2 linked regions of the Struthio camelus genome follow. The protein of the gene in region 1 purifies or fractionates together with the protein of each later gene. This does not show direct contact. Links are inferred from orthologs where the notes say so. Each region holds a gene or a part of one and is shown in the gene's direction. Other genes may lie near its edges.

The links. Proteins that work in one complex are often made in the same cells at the same time.
Region 2: the proteins of AKAP11 (region 1) and PRKAR1A purify together in Homo sapiens (affinity purification with mass spectrometry; 3 studies listed by BioGRID and IntAct, counting the BioPlex papers as one, with this or other methods). This does not show direct contact. The link is inferred for Struthio camelus from reciprocal best matches to the Homo sapiens genes AKAP11 and PRKAR1A.

What each region holds. Positions count from the first base shown.
Region 1 is NC_090942.1:189,550,729-189,560,916, forward strand, and holds the start of AKAP11 (A-kinase anchor protein 11), read left to right. Parts: upstream 1-6,372; 5' UTR 6,373-6,456; intron 6,457-6,527; exon of another isoform or gene 6,528-6,671; intron 6,672-10,188. UniProt on the Homo sapiens protein: Binds to type II regulatory subunits of protein kinase A and anchors/targets them.
Region 2 is NC_090960.1:3,399,888-3,409,744, reverse strand, and holds the start of PRKAR1A (cAMP-dependent protein kinase type I-alpha regulatory subunit), read left to right. Parts: upstream 1-5,814; 5' UTR 5,815-5,960; coding exon 5,961-5,994; intron 5,995-6,445; coding exon 6,446-6,508; intron 6,509-7,561; coding exon 7,562-7,740; intron 7,741-9,857. UniProt on the Homo sapiens protein: Regulatory subunit of the cAMP-dependent protein kinases involved in cAMP signaling in cells.

The sequences.
Region 1 (10,188 bases):
GCCAGAATTGTGCAGTAATATCTAAGGTTAACTTCAGTAAAGTTAGTGCACTGCTAGTTCTAAAAGTGAAGGAAGGTCTCTGAATCTGTGCTGATCTCAACGCTACCAGTTACCCAGTAAAGCATACAAATGAGTATCTTTTACCTAGTTTGGAAGATATATGTTCCTCATTATCTCATTTTTGAGTTTATCCTAACCTACATTCATCCACAAATATACACTGAAGACAATGAGTCAGGGTATGTCTGATAAAATATGTAAGTGTTCAACCTAACAGCTTATTGTCTAGAGTGGTACTTGTTCGTTAGCAGGGATACAGAAGCAGGTACTATTGGGTATTCCTGGCATGAAGTGTTATTTGGGTAATACTAATCACATAACTAGTAGTGAAGGACAACCTGAAAATTCCCTCATGGGCCTGAGTATTATCATGGATCAAATAAATACAGGAAAATTCAGTGCTATCAGAAGCTCATATTCATGATAAAGTTGTGCATAAACCACAAGGCAAAGCTGAAGAAATCCAAAAGGAATCCAAAGCAAGGCAAGGTTGCATTCAGTCATTAACAACTGACTCAATAATAGTTAGTTATTGAGAGGGGTTTGAGCATTTTCTAACTGAACAGATTTACACTGAAAATGTCGGATTGCACCAGTTTCATCAAAGCTTTTTACAGAAGCTAAAGTGGTGATCTGGCTGGCTGCCGGCCAGAAATCCAACCAAGCTGGTTGTTTGCTGTAACTCAGCTGCCTGGGTATCTAGCTATCTGGCAATTTGCCGACTGCTCAGTTGGTTTCTTGGCTCCCCAGACATGTCAGCTGGCAAAGAAATAGATTGTTCCATTTTTTGCCAGTAAGGCAGCCCAGCCAATGTGTTTTGTTCCAGTGCTCAATGAAACAAAATATTGACAAGCTGGAATTTCCTGTAGAATAAAAATTTCACTTCCTAGCCAGCTCTAGTTATTATCGTACACTCTTGTGTTACAAAGCGATGGTGTTATCACACCCTTTAAGTAAATACGACGCACAGAAATTATGTTAATCTAGATAGTGTTTTTAAGGCATTGGATAAGAATCTTGTAGCATCTGAAACTCTCTCTATGCAGTACAATGCACCTTTTTATAAAGTCCATCTGTGATGCTTCCCATTTTGTATCAAAAGGCTTATTAAGATGTCTCTTAGAATTCACTTGTCAGCAGGACATAACTGGCCAACTGACAGATAAATTCTGAATATAGTCTGTGGATTACATCTTTTATGTATATTGTTTTGGAAGATAATTTACTTACGTTACAGATCATCCAACTCCCGTTTCAGTTTTCAAGTCACGGATGAGAAAAACCAAGAATAGTTGTAATATAGTTTTTCATATTTATATAACGATGATTAGATTCTCACTGTTAAAACAGTGAGCTAAAATACTCATGAACATGCAAATAAAGATTACTTCTCAAACATGTCATTGGGAACAACAGATTGTGCAATGTTCAGTGAAAAGAAACCAGAAGATGTTGTTATAAATGCCATAAACTGAACCCTTGACAGAGACAAATATCATGGTCCAGCACCGGCCAAAGGTTAACGTCAGGATGACTAATAAAATTATACACTCAAAGAGTTCCGGGTTTTTAGTTCATAGGTGTGTTAAGAGTATCATTTTCAATGAGACACTGAGCAGGATTTAAATGGCAACGCAAGTCAACACATGGGTATGCACTTGGTGGCAGAACAAGCCAATTTAAACTGTGTCTGTTATCAGTTGTCTCTGTGTCTAACCCCAGTGCCATGCTGACAAATTTATTATGTTGGTGAACAGGATCAGCAAAAAAGAAGAAAAGCAGATTGTTTTCTAGCCTTCTCAGCCCAATCTCATTTACTGCTTGATTTCACAGATGTTCATGCTGGCACAGTCCAGAAGCAGTGCAGATGCAGAAGCAGGTAGCTGAGGCTGAGAGGCAGAAAGCTATGTTATAAAGAAAGAGGCCACAAAAAAGACATTCAAGAAATTGTATCATTAGTTCACATCAGACAAACTTTAGATTGGGGGGAAAAGTAGTATCTAGCATGGCAGATCCTTCCCAGCTTGCCACAAGAGGATCAATGGAAAGGCTTATCCAGGCTTTCAAGAAATGCATGCTATGTCTCTAGTTAAAGGTAGGCATGGCAAGACTATAAACTGTCTATCTGCCTTTGGGCAGGCAAATTACTACATATTACTACATCAGTGTAGTTTATAGGATGCAATTTAAAGTCTTGCTTGGACATCATAAAGCTTTAGGTATAGAGGGACATTCTTCAAAGATGGTGCCATCAAAAAAAACCACTGACTGAACTATGCAACTACGTAGCTTTCCTGTACAAAGAAAAAAATATTAGCCTGAGACCAATAAGAAAATGAATGGAAAACTGCCATATAATCACAGATTAGTGCTTCATCTCCTTTTATAGAACTGGCATTGAGTATGTTAGAGAGATGACAAACAAGTCAGTCTGAGCTAGACATTCAACAAGTTGCGCTAAGCCAGTTACACTGAAAATATCAAGCTTATTAGACAGGTGCAGATAGTCACTCACGATAGTACCAGTGACACAATAATATTTCTGCTAGAAAAGATTCTAAAGGTACAGCTCAATATGTTTTTGATACAGAAAGAGCAGAAAACACTGCAAGTGTCTACATGACAAAACCGCAGCAATGTCCAGGGGTAAATCACAATCTATCTTGCATTCATTTCTGTCATGTTGCAGATCAAATTATAACTTGTTAGAAATATTCTGTTACCTTAAAAGAGAAGTATACAACTTATAGAATCAGAAAATATCCCTTTAAATAGTTTATGAACTTTCTAATAGCATTCCATCCTTAGAAACTCATGAGGGCAGTATTCCATATAACCATTTAACACCTACAGCATATGGTTACAAAAGATAAAAAGAAAGATGTTGAAACTTGGAAGTATATCCAGAAAAGTTTTATGTATTCCTCACCTGAAAAAGAAAATGGGACAAAAACCAACCCAAAACATTAAGAGAAGCCCCACTGGATCAGCAAAAAGGCTCCATCTAACTCACTATTCCATCTCTGATTAGTGCTAAAAGAGATATTATTTGTGGTGAGCATATTCCTTGCTATTGGCATGGAATTTGCCTGCCCCGAAGAATTTAGTAGCATCCTCAACCCTGGACATTTCACTCCGCACTCCCTGCTTTGGATGAAGATGAATAAAACTGGTCCCTGCCCTGATTCCTGAGGGATCCTACTACCAACTCTTCTGCATCCTGAAAAGTTACCATTAAGTCCAGCTTGTGTTTACTCACTTTCATAGGGCCTGGTAACGGATGTTGTTGCTAGGCAAGGTCCATATTCTCCTACTAGCAGTGAAGTTTTACACACCCGCTTTTGGCAAACAACCAAACTTTCCTGACAATACAACCATGGCAGCCCCTGGACAACCCGATATATCCCCATCAGGTATACCCCTCCTGAAACATGGAAATGCTCCTGTGGTAACTAATGAGACAAATAAAAACTATGTTCCATTATATCAGTCCCCTGGATAAGTCTGATTCCTGTCAAATCTATGTTAGATATGTATGCTTTGGGTTTATCTACCTATACTTGTGTATTGAGTAGGAAAATGCATTAGTTGAAAAAAGTGCTTCATTATTCTTCACCTTTCATTTCAGTATTTTCACTATAAGGGAATGCTGCTCTTTCGATCATATATTCCACTAGATATCTGCTTTATTAATGACCCTCAACTTTTGAATTTGCTGTCTGTGAAACTCCCCCCTGTTCCACCTGCCCACCCCAAAGTTTATGAAAAATGTAAGACTAACGTGTGCTCTACAGGACACAGATTACCAGAGCGCAGAAACTGACACTCTATTTCTTCATAATTAATATGCATTTTAAGAAGTGTTGACTCACCAGCTAATATTCCTATACATTTACACAGGCAGTATTTAAATCAGTTGTAAAAAAACAACCGCTATTCTAAAGCTATTTCCATTTTTAATATTGTATATAAAAACACTTTTCTGACAAACAATGGTGTGCTGTGGGTTATGTTTCATAGTTTCCGGATGAGGTTAAATCTTGATTTTTTTTCAAGGCTTTGGCAGAGAACCATAGGAAATCATTATTCTGAATAGTCTAAGGGGAATTATAGACCAAAGGGAAGAATGGGCTTGAATTTATTTTTAAAGCATTCTTTCTCATGTTTATGTTGTTTCCAGATCTATTTTGTTTTGGAACACTTTTACTTACAGTAAGTCTTGATATATGAAAAACAAAAACAAAACCCTTCTACAGAATTTTTAGTTTTTATGAAAACTGAAAGGTACCTTGAACCAAGGAGTTGGTCAACAAAGGCACCAAAGACCTGCAAAACTGTTACAATTTCCTTACTTAAAGGACAGTGAATTTATAAAATAGCATGGTCTCAACGAGCACTGAAATGATGACACACCTGAGTTAAATTTAATTCAATTACTCATTTACTTTCTCCCCATCCCATAGGGATCTGTAGTCCCTGGGAATAAGAGAAACCTTTTGTTCGACCCACTTTACTAGCGTTTTAGAACCAGTGATCCTTTGATTCTTTTATCTATCTAGCCTACATGGTTTGCACGCTTTGCCCCATAGCTTATTAGTTTTTAGGACAAATTAAAATTAAGTTTCTCTGTTGATAATATGAATAAGTGAATACGCATCCTGACTTCTGAAGTGGCTAAAATGATTATGAAGCCCAGAAAGAGCAAATTATCAAGGACTAAACAGAAGTAAAAGTTAAGGCTTAAGTAAAAACAGAAGCCAGGAATCGCGTGGAAAAAGTTATGGACATCCAATAGCAAACAGGGTTCGTTTGTTTGTGGCAAGAACACACTCTCACTGTCTTTTTATAGGGCTCAGGTAGTAGTGGAAGAAGAGATAAACACAACTTAGTAGGAAGTCAGCATAGTCTCTCTGTCTTTGTCTCTTTCTGTGAAGCAGATGGGTCACACTTTGAAATCCTTAGCTCATAAAAGCTACAAGGCTAGCATCTGTTTTCTTTCCTTTTCTGCCAGTATATAAAGTTTTGGATTCGTGCTAAAAACAGCTGTGGGGGCTCTTTCTTTTCTGACCTGGAAAAGTTGTTGCAATCCCATGCCACCTAGCATGAGTTTCTAGTTACAGTGGAATTCTGGTTCTGTTGTTCCCCTTCCTTAGTTTCACTCTTACATGCTGAGCCTCAGAAAGACTTGTCTGGATTTTGGGAGTGTCTTTTTTTGAGGGAAGGACAGAACTGTTAGCCTACAGCGGTAGACTATCCACAGCTGACGGGTAGTGCAGAGAATCCACTGCAGTCAACAGACTTTCTGGTTTGTTTCCTCCTTTGCTGTTGCCATGTTAGTGTCTGACAGAGCTGGTGCTGTAATGGAGCAATGTTGGGAAGCTGCATGAGCTTTTATTAGATCACTGCTTCTATGCAGACAGAAAGAAATGCAATGCTCCAACAGCACGCACTGTTAAATACTCATCACTATCATAGCTCAACTTGAAAATAGATTGCGTATTGATGGCGTATCTTTTCACGTCTAAATTTTTGAGGAACCCGGTAACACTGAGTTTAAAAAGGGGATGGGAAAGAAAGAAATGCTCGGGGGCTTCAGGCAGAGTTTGAGAGTCTGCTCTCTGTGCCTTGTGTGACTAAAACCAGATTTAGCCTCTAACCCATCTGCCCTGCTGAGCCAGCCAGCCAGGTGGCAAGCCAAGCCTTGCGTGAGAGGTTTTTGCATGCAACCAGGGGGCAACTCTTAAGTCCAGACTGACTAGGCAGGAAAGACCCACCTGGCAGGTCTCCCGAATGCCTTGGAGGACAGAGTTTGGCATCCTGCTTCTCACGCAACTTTTCAAGGGCTGTGCAAAGGCTGCAGCTGCCACGCCAGGTGCTGAGGGAAGGGCAGTAGCCTCACACCATGCCATGCCATGCTTCTTGCTGCAGGGAAGACACTGGTCGTGACTGTACCGTCACTTCTGTGGATGGGACGAAGCAGCACTGGCCACGGAGGCTCTTCGGCTGGCAGCAGCAGCACCAGCCACCTCGCAGCATCCCCCTCAGAGAAGGCGCCTGTCGAGGCCTGGAGGGGCAGACGGGACAGGTGGCCTGGGCCAGACACGAGGTGCGTTTTGTTCCTAACTTTGCCAGGAGAAGGCGCGTAAAACGCAGCTCCTAAGTAGAGAAGATGGAACACACACCCGTTACCGGGCGAGTAACGCCTATAACGGGCGGGGGCGGCGCGCGCACCCCCACGCTGAGGGGCGGGGCGGGGCGCTGGCGAGCGCATCCTCCTCCTCCTCCTCCTTCCCAGGATTCCTTCGAATTCCCGCTTTGGCGGCCAATGAGGACGCGGCGGGAGCCGCCACGTGACGCCCTCCCTCCTGCGGGGGGGGGGGCGCGCGCGAGACTGCGGTGGGTGCTGGGTGGGGGGCGGAGAATCGTCGCGAGAGCGGCACGCACGCGCGCCGAGAGCGCGGAGGGGGGGCGGGGGGAGGCGGCGGCGGGGGGCTGCGGCGGTAACGGGGGCGGGCGGGCGGGCGGGCGACGACGGGGCCGAGCTGGGTGTTCGCTCTGTTGCTTTAGGAGGCGAAATGGCTGCGGGCGCCGGATGCTGAGGAGGCAGTCAGGTACGGGGCGCCCGCTCTTCTTCCCCCCTGCCCTCTTCCCTCCCCCACCGCCCCCCTTTTGGCGGCGGGGGGCGAGGCGGCCGTTGCTTCCGTCCGTGCGCGAGGCTGGGGGAGCCGTTGAGGGCGGGGCGGCGGCGGCGGCGGGGCAGCGCTGGCTCCCGGCCTGCCGGGCGGCGGGGGCTCGTCCCCACAGGTGGCTCCCGGCGGGGCAGGGAGGTGAGGATGCTCTGCCCCTTCTCCGCGCTCCCCTCCCCCCGCACCTGCGGGGAGCAGAGCCGGGGGTGCGCCGCTGCTGGCTCCTCCCCGGCGGGCTCTGCCTGGCCTCGGGCATGGCGCTTCTTCACCGGCCCGGCGCTTCCCTGCGCCCGCGGTGGGAGCAGCGCGCCTACCTGAGGGGAGCGCAGCGCCCTGGGCCGCGGTGGCGGCGGGGCGGTGTTGGCGACCCCCCTCCGTGTGGGCTGCGCAGCGGGGCGCGGCGGGCTGCGCCGGAGGCCTGCCGGCCGGGGAAGTCCGCTAGCCCGCTCGGCGGAGGCCGTCTCGGCTGCCTAGTGGCTTGTTTCGTGGTTGATGCACACGGGTTCAATAAGTTCACCTCGTCCTCGGCGTTTAGCATTTTAAAAGTGGCTTTTCTTTTTCCCCTTCCCCATCCTTCTCCCAATTCCTTTCCTTGCTGAAGAGAGGGGGAGGGAGTGTTGTGCGTTCGCTTTCTTCGCTCTTCTGTGCAGCTCTCTCTATGTCTAATGAAGTTACTTCTTTCTGTAGGTTTCTGTGGTTTTCCCTAATATCTATTTAAAAAAAAAAAAGGTTATGAACTGCGGCTGTAGATCCTGTGCAATAAGATTCGCATTGAAGCCTTGAGATATTATTGCAGTGCAAATAAATCACTATGAAATAGGGTGAAAAATAAGTTTTATTTTGTCTGGGAAAGATCAATAGTAATAAAATCAATGGTAGCACAGTGCACTTAAGTTGTCCATATTAGAGTTGGAAAGACAGTCTTACTTGGGTTGAAAGTTTATTTCATAATTATACAGTTAGTCTTTAGTCTTGTGAGAGATACTGTTAGTATTAATTCTTGAGAAATTACCTATTTATAAATAGTGCTGGTCCCATTTGTCCAGGCAAATTCCTTGGTCTTCATCCATGAGCAGGCAAGGTGACTTTTTGAGACTTAGTAATGAAATTGTGCTGTCTTTTCTGATAAATGATAATATTTTTTTTTATCCTTTGTAGATTCTTTAAAATATATTGACAGTTGGAAGAGTATAGCAATGGAAAGTCTTGCACAGTATGGAAAAATAATAAAAATAAATTAGATTATTCCCTCTTCCTGTTAATCATTTGGTATGTTACAGTATTAAAAAGACCCTCCTAAACAGGGTATTCTCTGGCAAAGTGCTTCTCCAGGGGAAATAAGATTGCTTGAAAAATGTAATGCTACTATTGAAATGCTGTTACTTACACAATCATTTTAAAAAAAGAAAGTTTAGCTGTGTTGTGTTACACAACAGAATAAAGTGCAAAAACATGAAGTTAATTGCATAACCCCCAAAGTCTAGACTAATGGGTGTTTTTGGTATGTTAGGTAATATTTTTCTTAAAGGCTATATTTGAGAATTCACCCCGCCTCCCAAAAAGTTTCTTATGTTTTAACAGGTGTTCTTTATGCTTTAAAAGGTTTTCTGGTGTTCTAACAGTTGAGAGGTCTGCTTGCTTAGATGATATTTAATTTGATTTTTTTTTTCCCTGTAGTGGCTTAAAAATGTTTCCTTTAGGTGAACAAAAGCAAATATCCCTTTTGTTTAAAGTCCTCCTTGTGTAGTAGGGAGGAAAAGTGAAAAACAGTAAAAGGTTTTTTGAAGGGTGAAGGAAAGGGAATGATTCTATGGTTCTTTAGTGTTGCTACAGTGGCATTCAACTGATTAGTGCTATTTTTATGGCTCTGATGCCATCTGTGTTGCTGATATGCAATTAGAAAGTAAATAAAAATCATTTTAATATTGAGTCAACTTGCACAGGGAAAAGATGAGTACTTGCTGTTTACTATAGTGAAAGAGTTTATTTTTCAAGTTTTGGAGAAGATACAGCGTGAGAAATGTTAATATTTTCTATAACATTCTATGGTGTAGTTATTTTATGATAAAATGTGAAATGTTTATCATTATACTGTAGCAGTATTAAAAGAGACAATTTTCTGTGGTAGTTGCTTATCCAACTTTTTTAAAAATAACAAAGAGGTTCAATTCAGGGTAGATGGAAAACTGCAAATTTTCCAGATTTTTCAGCCATATATTCTGGAACAAATGGCTGCCCTTTTTTTTTTTTTTTTTTTTTGAAATGATTGCCTGTTTTAATAATTGAATGTTGAAAATCTTTTTTACAAAAAGAAGGCTAAAGACAGTGATGCAGTATGCTGGCAATACCACTGTAAGAGTGGAATCAGTGAACCAAAAGGGAATGGAGGTCTTTTTATAAAGAAAATATTTGAGCCAAATCTTCAGGTAGATCTTAGTGTACAATTGATGAACAACAGTGCTCTATTTTTAGACCTTATGAGCATAGTAACAAGCATACTTTTAATTGGAATGTGTTCTGAAGTATTTCAAAAGATGCAGTTAATGAATTGAGGCACATGTAGTTCTGACCAAAAAACAAAGTCATTTAGACTTTAATTTATGTTTTACTTAATGCTGGAAAAATATTTTTAGCAATGAACTAATCAGAGAAAATTAAGAATTCTTTTGAAAGTAGTGAAGCTTATTATTCACGTCATGCATCCGATGTAACAAGAATTCAATGTAAAACAACTAGAAGCAAACAAGAAAAAGAAAATTCAGTGTTTCAGAATTGTCAGTAATGCTCACTGACATGAACTGAATTTGTTCCACCTTTTCTTAGTGTGGATATAGGTACGTTCAAGACAACTTGACGTTTTTATAAATAGGCTTTTTCAAAACTGCCAACCACGTTAGCGAAAGTGATAAATTATTAGAAATAAGAAATGGAAAAGCATCTATCAGACTATTCTGTCGATTTGTCAGTACCAGATTGTTTAAGTTGGTTTTCAATAGCATTTACTTTGTTAAAGTTACAAAGGAGTGCATGTTGTTTTAAAAAAAAAAAAAAAAAAGAAATTTAATGTTTGGAATGAATGTCTCCAAGCTCAGCTTTTGATTAAGCCTGGCTTTTGGAAATTGTCAGCCAAGTTCTTTTGGCTGCTTTAGGTCATTGTGTTGAAGGCACAAAAAGTACTTTGCTTTAAAAGGAAGGTCTCTTCTTCCCCTCCCCCCCTCCTTGAACAATACTACAGCAAAAATATGTTTTGAAACAAAAGCATAGATATACTGTTGTCCTCAACTAGAATGTCTGTTGGAACTTAATTTAATAAGAATGGAATATATTACATATAGTTCAAATTTATCAGATATACAATTCAAATTCTTAAATATGCTAGTATACCTTTAAACATAGACATGTATATGTGCACAGCTATTTCAAAGATTTACTTAGCACATTT
Region 2 (9,857 bases), on another chromosome or scaffold:
TTAACTATGAGATTCAGCACTAATTGTAATTCCTCTGTAATTATCTAAAGATCGAAGAATGTTCTGATATGAGAGATCAGAACAACCCAACATTGCGAGAGGGAGACTGGGAACACGCACAGGACCTGGCAGCGGGTGGGAAGGATGGGTTCTTGCACAGCCTGGTGTGCCCAGACCAGAGAAGCAACTCTGCTTGGTGAGACTGTGGAGGGATAACTTTCAGAGACGCAGGCTCGCTTCCCAAGCTCCTAGCATGTAACTAAGTCACGTGGCCCCGATGACCATCTTCCCTTTCATGCTAGAGGAGATGAGGAAGGGCTTTGAGGAGAAATGGAACAAAACCTTCATATAATACACTCACAGCAGCAAAAACTTGGTTCTTGTTCAAACAGAGAATGCAGGAAGGCATCTACACTGTCTATGAGACTAGAGTATACCCAAAGCCAAGGTAACCTTAGCTATTGCTAGCAATAGCCTCCGAGTTCATGTGGATGCAACTTCTTGACTTCTTTTGCAAGCCATGCTGAATCAATGCTCTTGTGACTGGCTCCGAACTTCTTCAGGTATTTTAACTACTGATCCCCATTACTGGAGCACATGAACATCTCACGAGCTTGCATTCACCCTCCACCCAGAAAGAGTTTTCATCCTCTTCCTGTTGATGGGAAGCTGAGATGAAGGGAGGCTAAGTGACTTGCCACATGAGAGGCAGGAAATCAGTAGCACAGCAGCAAACAAGAGCCACATCTCTTAATCGTCTTGCTGTTTCAGATTCAAGGGTTACAGTTCGAGAATGAAAAAGACTATATCCCATTGCCGCAGCAGACAGCACATACCAAGGAAGACTATGACCTTTCAAAGATGTATTGTTTTTAAAGTAGGTTCCCTCCATCTGGGAAAATATTCTATTATCTGGAGGGGGAAGTAGGGGAGGAGGGAAGCACAAACTTGCATCAGAAAACACTTGATTCTCTGGCCAGTTTGTTGGATGTCAGTCCAGACCAAGAATAGTGGATCCAACTGACTGCATGATGTGTTTACTTTGCCACCTGCTTTCAGAGACAAGCCTATAAGTAAATGGCTGTTTTGAATGCTTTTGTGTGTCTACTGAACTTGCGGCAGAACCGTGTCACAGATGATGCTCTAAGAAGAAACTTTTCCCAGACTGCCAGTTCGTTAAAAGCTTGGGAACTTAGGATACTTTTCAATGACAGTATTTACATTCTGTTGCAAAACAAACACCGATTGTATTTCACATGCGTTCCTGGAAAAGAAGTCAACGGTATCTGCACACTGTCTCATTGCTCTTTAAAATCAGTTTGCGTCAGAGAGATCTTACGAGTCAGAAGAAACAGATTTGCAGACACTGGAGCAGTTCATGAACTCCCGAAGCTGCCCAGAGAGTTGTGTAAAGTTAACCGCGCAAAACAAAGAAGGTTTGCATACAAACTGCAGGAAGCAAAGACCTGCTGCTCTCCTGTTTCCCTTCCTCTCCCTAGGGGACTAATCACCACAGGGTCTTTTCTGCAGTGCTTTGGATGCTGTTTTCTATCTCCCAGTTTCTGTGAGGCAGCACAGAACTCCAGCCTGCATTTGTAACCCTTGGAGTGGGAATAGGGATAAATGCAGAGTTGAGGAGAGTCCCTGAAGTCCTTCGGATTCATGCACGGAAACCTAGGTAGAGTGCAGCCAATAAATAGTCAGGATTGGGCCTTTAGTAGCTGATCTGAGAAAGGTGCTTGGGGACCTCTTCCCTCACTGTTGAGGGGCAGGTTAACTGTACCACTTCTTAGGTCAGAAGAAAGGGAGAACATTGACTTCAACTGAAACAGACGGCTGAGCGGCCAGCAGAGGGCAAATACCTGTGTTAGAATTTAATTGGGACATCGTGGCTTTTTCAAAGTGTCACTGAGCTTTTCCTCAAGTAAAAACAGGAGAGCTCAGTGACATACTTCAGATAATAACGGCACGCCAGCTGCACTGCCTCTCTCACCCAACGGAGTTGTTTAGTAGTTACTCAGGAGGTAAAATGTTCCCAGCGTTGCTCCTTGGCTGCTGGAAGCTTTCCTCCGGGAACCACGCTGAGCGTGGGGAGGGCTGTGTTCAAGCAGGCATGCCTTGCAGATGTAAGTGGATTCCCTGACTGGTCTATCTTTAAGATGTGGGCACTTCAGGGCATGTTTTCTTGGCTCTTGGTTACTCTGTTTGAGACTTACCAGTCATTTTCTTCTTCAAAGTAACATACGGAAATGATCTGAGATCTGCTGCTCAAAGCAAACTTGTTCTGCACTGGAGATCCTTACGCAAAACTGTCTGCCCAACTGATGTGCAGCAGGACCAAAACTGGCTTCCACATACCACCTTTCAGGGTCCAAACACAGGTATTTTAGTCTACAGCAGGGGTCATGCTGGGGTTTGAGTGGGAAGCCCAGGCAATATCTGTCAGATTGTATGGTTATTGCTCACACCAATTCCTTGCTCTGTTCCTTTATCACTTAAATTCTTCTTCTCTTGCTCTTCTTCTTCTCATGTGGCAAAACTACAGATGTTGATTCCAGATTTATTTACAGTCAATCTCATCCAGAGACTCAAACTACAGGGCAAATATTGTGCATTGCTCTGCATTGTGTGGCAAGCACCATTTTTTTTCTCTGTGCATACAGGTAAACTGAAGCATCACACTGAAAGCTGTCAAGTTAACGCAGAGAGTCAAGTCCAGAGTTCAGGATGAAATCCAGAAGCCCTCACCAAGGCATCTACTGCTGAACTGTGTAACGTTTTGTCTGCTCATCTATGGGTTTTCCTATGGTCACACTATACTGTTTCAGTGGGACATGATGTGCAGCAGCAACAGACAGTTATTTTCTATGCTAGTTAAAGCTTAAACAAAACTACCAGAAGATATGCTCAAAGTATGCAGCGTAAACTCTACCTGTGAGCTTGCCGCCGTGCGCTGTCAGCTCACGGATTTTTCTTCCGCTGACTCCAGTAGATGTGGGTTGTAGGGCTGACGGCAGTTTCCGTTGGTAGAAGGAACCATTCTGTATCACCCAAGCTTTTTCACGTCCCCCTGAGGCAGCGCACACACAGCAGTTGATCGGATCAAGACAGAATTTTGCATGTTGTGCTGTCTCTTCAGACGATGCTTGTCTACTCAGGATGATAGATTTACATGATTTAACATGTAAAGCTCTGTGTGGGGGATAAACACAGGCTGCTTCAATCTGAGAGCTGTTTGATTCATTTGCTTTTAATCAGTGACTTCTCTGAGATGATGGTACTTCATTGGCAGAAAATGATACTCAGTTAGGGTGGTATCTTTAGTAGAAACACCCACTGTTGTAATTGCTGTGCAGCACTCCAGATACCGAGTGGCTCTGCTGGTTCTGCTGCCTCTAAAATAGCTATCAGGATCCTTTTTTTCTTCCTGCGTGCACACAGCAGGAGTAAACTTCCGTGCTCAAATTCCTCATCTTGACTCATATAACTTTCTCCTCCCTGAGGATGCAATTGTTCACACAGGTGTTTTTCCCAGCCTGGTGATCTATGCATTTTGCATTTTCCTTTCAGATGGAGCCATTGACTCCTCAGCCACTTCAGTGTCAAGCTATTCTTCGCATCCCTTTAACGCTGCTCCTTGTGCCCTCTCCCACGCCGTGCTTAACGTTTCATGTGCGGTCGTCTTACCTGGCTGCCTTGGCATGGACCTCCTTCCCCTTAGCTGACCCGCCATGCCAGGAGGCTCTCATTTACCTCCTTGATGAAGGCTGCAATGCTTCATGCTTGCAGGAGGATCCTGAGTCAGCCAGGCTCTCTGTGGGGTTTATATGATTGCATGGTGGTAAACAGAGTGGAAAGCCTTGACTTTTTCCTTCCTGGTGACCATTCCACAGCTTCTATTACAGTTTTTCAGAGTGTTGATAAATAGCACCATAAAAATTATAGTAATAAATTTAGTCATTGTGGGAACAGGGCTGATGGTAATGCAGGTTACTTGCTTAGGAATGTTTATTACTTAATTAGGACAGTTAAGGCTAGGGTTTGACTGTAATGCAGACCAAATGCAGTACGGTTTTGTTTGTTTTTAATTTTTCTCAAGTCTTTAAGAAGCAGCGTAAGGACTCACACGTGAATATGTACCAGCGTACGCTTACGGGGAGCGTGATTTAACTGTGACAGCAGATAAGTCACTGCTGACTCACGGGGAAGGAGCTGTGCAGAGCCAACGGGAGGGACCTCGCCTCACGTTGGCCTCGCAGGGCTCCTTTCGAAAGCCTGTCCCGCTCGCCTGGCCGCGCCGCTGCGTCACCGTCCGAGCTCCCTGGCTGCGGGGCTGAGCTCGGAGCACGGTACAACTGTATCCTGGTTTTCTTAACGCAAAAAATGTTGCAGAACAGGTTTTCCACGTGGGTCCGAACTTTGGCCCAGGCCCGGCAGATGGGATCTGTCCCCAAACCACAGGGCACATGTACAAACAGGGAGGAGCGAGATGGGACAACAGCAGACAGCTTGCAAAAGGGAAGGCAAGCAAGAAAAAGCGCATGGGGATCTGCAAACAGCATTCCCCCCCCCCAGTGTAGAGAAACTTCTAGTAGTTTTCAAATTATAGAGAGAAATATCGACGTACGACTAGAGGAGCAGGTAGATTTGGGGAGTGCCCTGTGCTCTGGTAGTCCTTCACGAATACGGATGATTCCTGGCAGTTAGTACTGAGTCGGATTCGATCTTTGCTCAAACCGCCAGTTTTTGGCTCAGCGTCAGCAAATCTCAGACCCGGGCGCCTAATTCGCCCCTAAGGGACCCGAAGCCGCCGCGCCGGCCTGCTGGCTCCGCGTGCGGCAGGCCGGAGCCGACTTCACCGGAATTTACCGCGTTTAGGGGGGATTTTCGTCACTCTGCGACACCGACCGCCCCCCCCCCCCCGCCCCGCAGGGGGGGTCCCAGGGCGGCAGGTGCCCGCGTCTCCCCTCAAAGCCCTCCCTGTCTCTGACGCCCTTCGCAGGCGGCCGCGCTCGCTTGGCCGCATCTCCTCCGCGCCCGCCGTGCCCTGTGGAGGGGACAAACGCGTTTATTGGGGTTCGCGAGTGTCACCCCCCCTTCCCCCCCCCCCGCCGCGCACCTCTGAGGCGCCTCAGGGCTGCGGCGGGCGCTGCCCCCTTCGGCAAGGGCGCCCCCGCGTGGCGGGCGCGGGTGGCGGGCGCGGCTCCGCCCCGGCGCCGGGCAGCTTTAAGGGAGGCGCCAAACCTCCGCCTCTCCTCAGCGGGCCGCGCCGCGCCGCGCGGCGCCTTTAAGGTTGCCGCGGCGACGGCTCTGGGCGAGAGCGAGGCGCATTGACGTCACGCCGCGCGGCCATTGGCTCGGCCAGCTGGTTTCCGGTGGGAGCTGCCGCCGCTGCTGCTGCCGTCGCCAAGGCCGAAGGCCGGGAGGGGTGGTGGGAGCCCGGCGGAGCCGCCGCCGCGCCGCGCGGTGAGTGGCGCCCGCCCGGCCCAGCCCGGGGGGCCGCGGCCTGGGGCGGCTCCATGTTGAGGGGAGCCGAGCTGAGCCGAGCCGGCGCCCCCTTCCTTCCCCCCCTCCCCGGGGCCTGCTCGAGGCCCGGCCGGGCTGCACCGGGCCCCAGGCGGCAGGAGAGGCCTCGCTGCGGGGGGCTCCCGCGGGGCCCTGTGCGGTGCCGAAAAAATACCCCCCCCCTCCCCGTCCCCTTCCCCAGCGGGGCTTGACCACTGCACGGCCGGGCCTCGGCGGCGCCGGCGGGGGGGGCTCGGCAGGGCTGGCCGGGCGGCCCCGGCGCCGCCGCGCGGGAGGGGCCTCTGGGGAGAACTTTGCTCCTGCGACAGGCAGGGGAGTTATTCGGCGAAGATGCCGTGTTCGTGGGGGTTTGTCACTTCTTTGGTGCTTACCGTGCTGGGCTCGCTCATCGCGCGGGCAGCAGCAGCTCGCGGCCGCTGCCTGTCAGCAGCGCGATGCAGCTTCACGCGGCTGTAGGTCGCTTTTTTGGTAGGTTGTAGTTTGTAGGCTGTCATGGAGCACCCGAGTTTCTCCGGGGCTGTTAATTAGTATTGACCTTGGCTGCGCGAGTTGCCAAAACAAAAGAAGTAACTGGAGAACTTTAAGGCCGCGTTTCAGTCCGTGCGAACTCCAAACTTGGTGTTTGTGCAATGCGTGATGCATCTGCGTCCCTGCATGCTTATGCAGGGATTAGATGTGACAAGAATGAAACCTCTTTGAAGTGTTAGCGATTTAGTATTAACTCTAGGCCTCTAGTAATCTCTAGTAGCATAATTCAGAGGGGCATAGCGTTGTACTTTCTATGTGGCCATGCGTGCTGTGTTTCTCAGCCTGCTGCCTGAATAGGATAAAATGCGTAATACAACTGTGCTACGTGACTTTTCAGTGGCTTGTCATCTCTCAAACTTATTTTGTCTGATTCTTTTTCACCCTTCAAAAGCTGATCCTGGGATCATCATATCTTACTGCCTATTCGTAGGTGTTGCCACAACCCTTATCCCAGGTAACTGTCTTTATATTTCATCAAAAATGCCCTGAGAAATTCTTTCCTGTTTCTTTAGCCATCTCAATGTTAGTTGTTTTGTGAAGAAAATTATGACTTGAAATGGATTTCTGTGTGTGTGTATATATAAATATATGCATGTATATATATGCACACACATATAAAACTATCATATGTATGTATATAACCTGAAAGATGAAAAAGAACTGCTTAAGCACATTTTTTTTTGAAATTTTTGTTTCTGACACTGTAATTTTAAAGTCTCCTGAAAACCTGACGTTGTAAGATATACGTTTAAATATGTACTCTTGATAACATACCTTCAACTGTAAGTATTGGGGGATTGCCATGTATTCACTGAAATGGATATGAAGCGTGGGCCAGGTTAAAGTATAGAAGCTTTTTAGGGGAAACACCTTTAATGCCTTAGTTTCCGTTAATGGGCACTGCTTGGGCATTTGGGGAACTGGCTTTGGCTTTGACCTTAATGTTTCTAATACTTCCAGTGCTTGCCTTTCTAATTCCCAGCTTCTCCTGACCTGTCTTTCGATTGTCATCCACCTGGCTCCATATAGAGCATACAGTTCTGTTTGTGATGTGACCTTCTCATCTGTGAAATCTTAGACTTAATCAGCAGAAAGCTTAGCTGGAAACCTCACTGATAAGCATCTTGTTCCTTGACTTTGAATGCTCACTGAACATAAATTGTTGAGGCCTTTACAGCTCAATTGCTTGCTTTCCCTCTTATGCTTGTGGAGTATTTTGTAAAGCACTCGAAATTCTTATTTCTTCCCTCATGTTAAATAAGCTTTTCTAGAAGCAAGATCAAACTGTGGGATTTAGTGTCTCTCTTACTGGATACTTCCTAGCTTTTTTCTCTTGTTGTTTAGCTGCTTTACTAGACTTGCAGATAAGAGATGACTTTATGCCGTGATGTTATTAAGATGATAATGCAGTGTAACTTTCTTTTTAGACAGCATGACATGCCTGACTGTATCAGGCAGCAGCATCTTCATTTCCATTGGTTTATTTAACCTTCTTTTTTCTCTTCAGCAATGGCAGCTTCTAGCAGCAGCAGCAGTGAGGAGGAGCGTAGTCTTCGAGAATGTGAACTCTATGTCCAAAAACACAACATCCAGCAACTTCTGAAGGATTGCATTGTGCAGTTATGTACAGTGCGACCTGAAAGACCCATGGGATTCCTCAGGGAATACTTTGAAAGATTGGAGAAGGTAAAAATAAGTGCTGGAGGGGAAGGAGAATGGAGCAACCTAAATTTACAACCTTTCTATGGAATTTTAGAGGCTGACCTTCAGATACGACCAGTGTTCATATTGATTGTTTGAAATTGGAACTAAGGGAAAGCTTTTGTCAAACAAGTCTTACTTTCCATAATTTTTACCAGTTGATCATGGTTTTAAAGCATTTCTGTAATAACAAAACATGTATGGCAAAATAGAAACTGAGGAAGAAATTTATCTAGCTTAGATGCAGATATAATCCCAATCTAGTGCTTCCTCTTAGAAGCTAATAGATAGGATATACTGTTCTTTCTGCAGTCCAGTGATAACTGTGGTGTATTCATCCAGCAGATGCTGGCAGTAGGCTTTTGGTTTATTATATTGAGAAAAATTATTTACAATGATTTAGGTGTAGCACAGAAGTAGGCTAGTGATATTTATCCAGACCTACCTGAAATCGAATTGAAATACTTGTATTTCAGCTTTCCAGGAGAGCAAGCCAGTTCCTGCCTTCTTTCAGTAGCTCGGTGTTGGTGTGTTTTGTTTGTTGTTCTTGCCGCATTTGTCTTCGAGGTGCCTTTGACTGTTTTTGCTGTGAAGTTGGTAGAAACATTCTGGGATCTTGAGGATGGAAAGCATTTTTGTCAATATAAGATAGGCATCTCAATGCTCGCATTTGAAACAATGATTTTATGTTCATTTGAACAATTAATTTTAAATTCCAATATCTAAGCAGACAGGAAAAGAAGCTGTTGTGAAAAATGTGAGGTTTTTCAAGACTAATACAGAGAAAACGGACTAATACAGACTAGTTGTATCTAACTACTGTATTCAGACTATATCACTAGTAAATAAGGTAACTGTGGCCTTATACAGCAGTCACTTGTAGGTACTCCTTTCAGTACTTTTATGCCAGGTATATGTTTGTCTTTTGTTTTAGGTAGGAATTAACAGAGATCAGAAGTATGTGTTGTGAAAAGGTTCTTGTAATGGTTGGAAAAATGAGCAGATGCTGCAGATTTACCTTACATAGTGTTTTTTGGTTTTGTTTTTTAAAATGACATCCTGAAAAAACTCTTTCAGAATACTAGCAGCAAACTAGATCCTAATAGGGTTTTTAAAATCAATTGTCCCTTCCTGTTGCCCTGCTTCCTTTCCTAGCATAGATTTTCAAGTTTCTAAGCACTGACAGATTTTAAAGGTTTGTATACCAACACTTGTGGTGTTATTGCTTTAAAAATTATCAAAGTTAATTACCTTACTGCCCATGGAATAAATTGTAAGCTAATCCATGTGTGAGCTTATAAAATGGGAGTAGTCATCTTTTTCCTTTAGTGGACTGACATGCAACATGTAATATTTAATCTTGAAACTTAGTTTGTCTTTAGGAAGAGGACAAACCTAGCTCTGGACTTGGTTGTTGGTATTTCAGAGTTGAATAACTCAAGCATGTTTTTTTATGGTGCAAATAGCTGTCTGTCAGCTCTGTCGGCCTACAAGAAAGCTGAAAATAAAAATGGTTAGGTAACTTTTTTGCTTGCAAATTACTCTTATAGTTTTGATCAAGGTCTCTCGTTATCAGGTATATTGGCATAGGTTATGCACATGCACTAATGCAGTTGTATCTACAAGGGAAAGCACAGCATTTCTCTTACCTTTTTGAATTAAAAAAAAATCTCTGTAGCTTGCTTTTTTGATGTAGTTTTGCCTTCCAGTCTAATGGATTGGTCTTCATTTAGCCAGGTAGGATAGTACCTTAATAGCTGTGAAATAACAGAGCAGTGGACATCCTGTGCTACGTGAATGAACTTTGACATCTCTATCTGAAAAGCACAAATGCTAAGTGCTATTATTAACCAGCTCTACCCCAGTACTCTGGTTGAGCAAAAAATGTTTGGATTTGTCTCTTTCAGCTTCCATAGGTAATGTCTGTTACATCTTTAACGAAACAGCACTGCTTTTCAGTGTACCTTCTGAATCTGTTACACTGAATGAGACTGGGGCTGAGATACAGTGTGGTGGGTGTTTTTGACTGAATTTTGAAGTTTTCATTTAAAACTGGAGCTAGGTGGCTCTCTTCTCTCTAGTTATCCTGACGGGTCATCTCT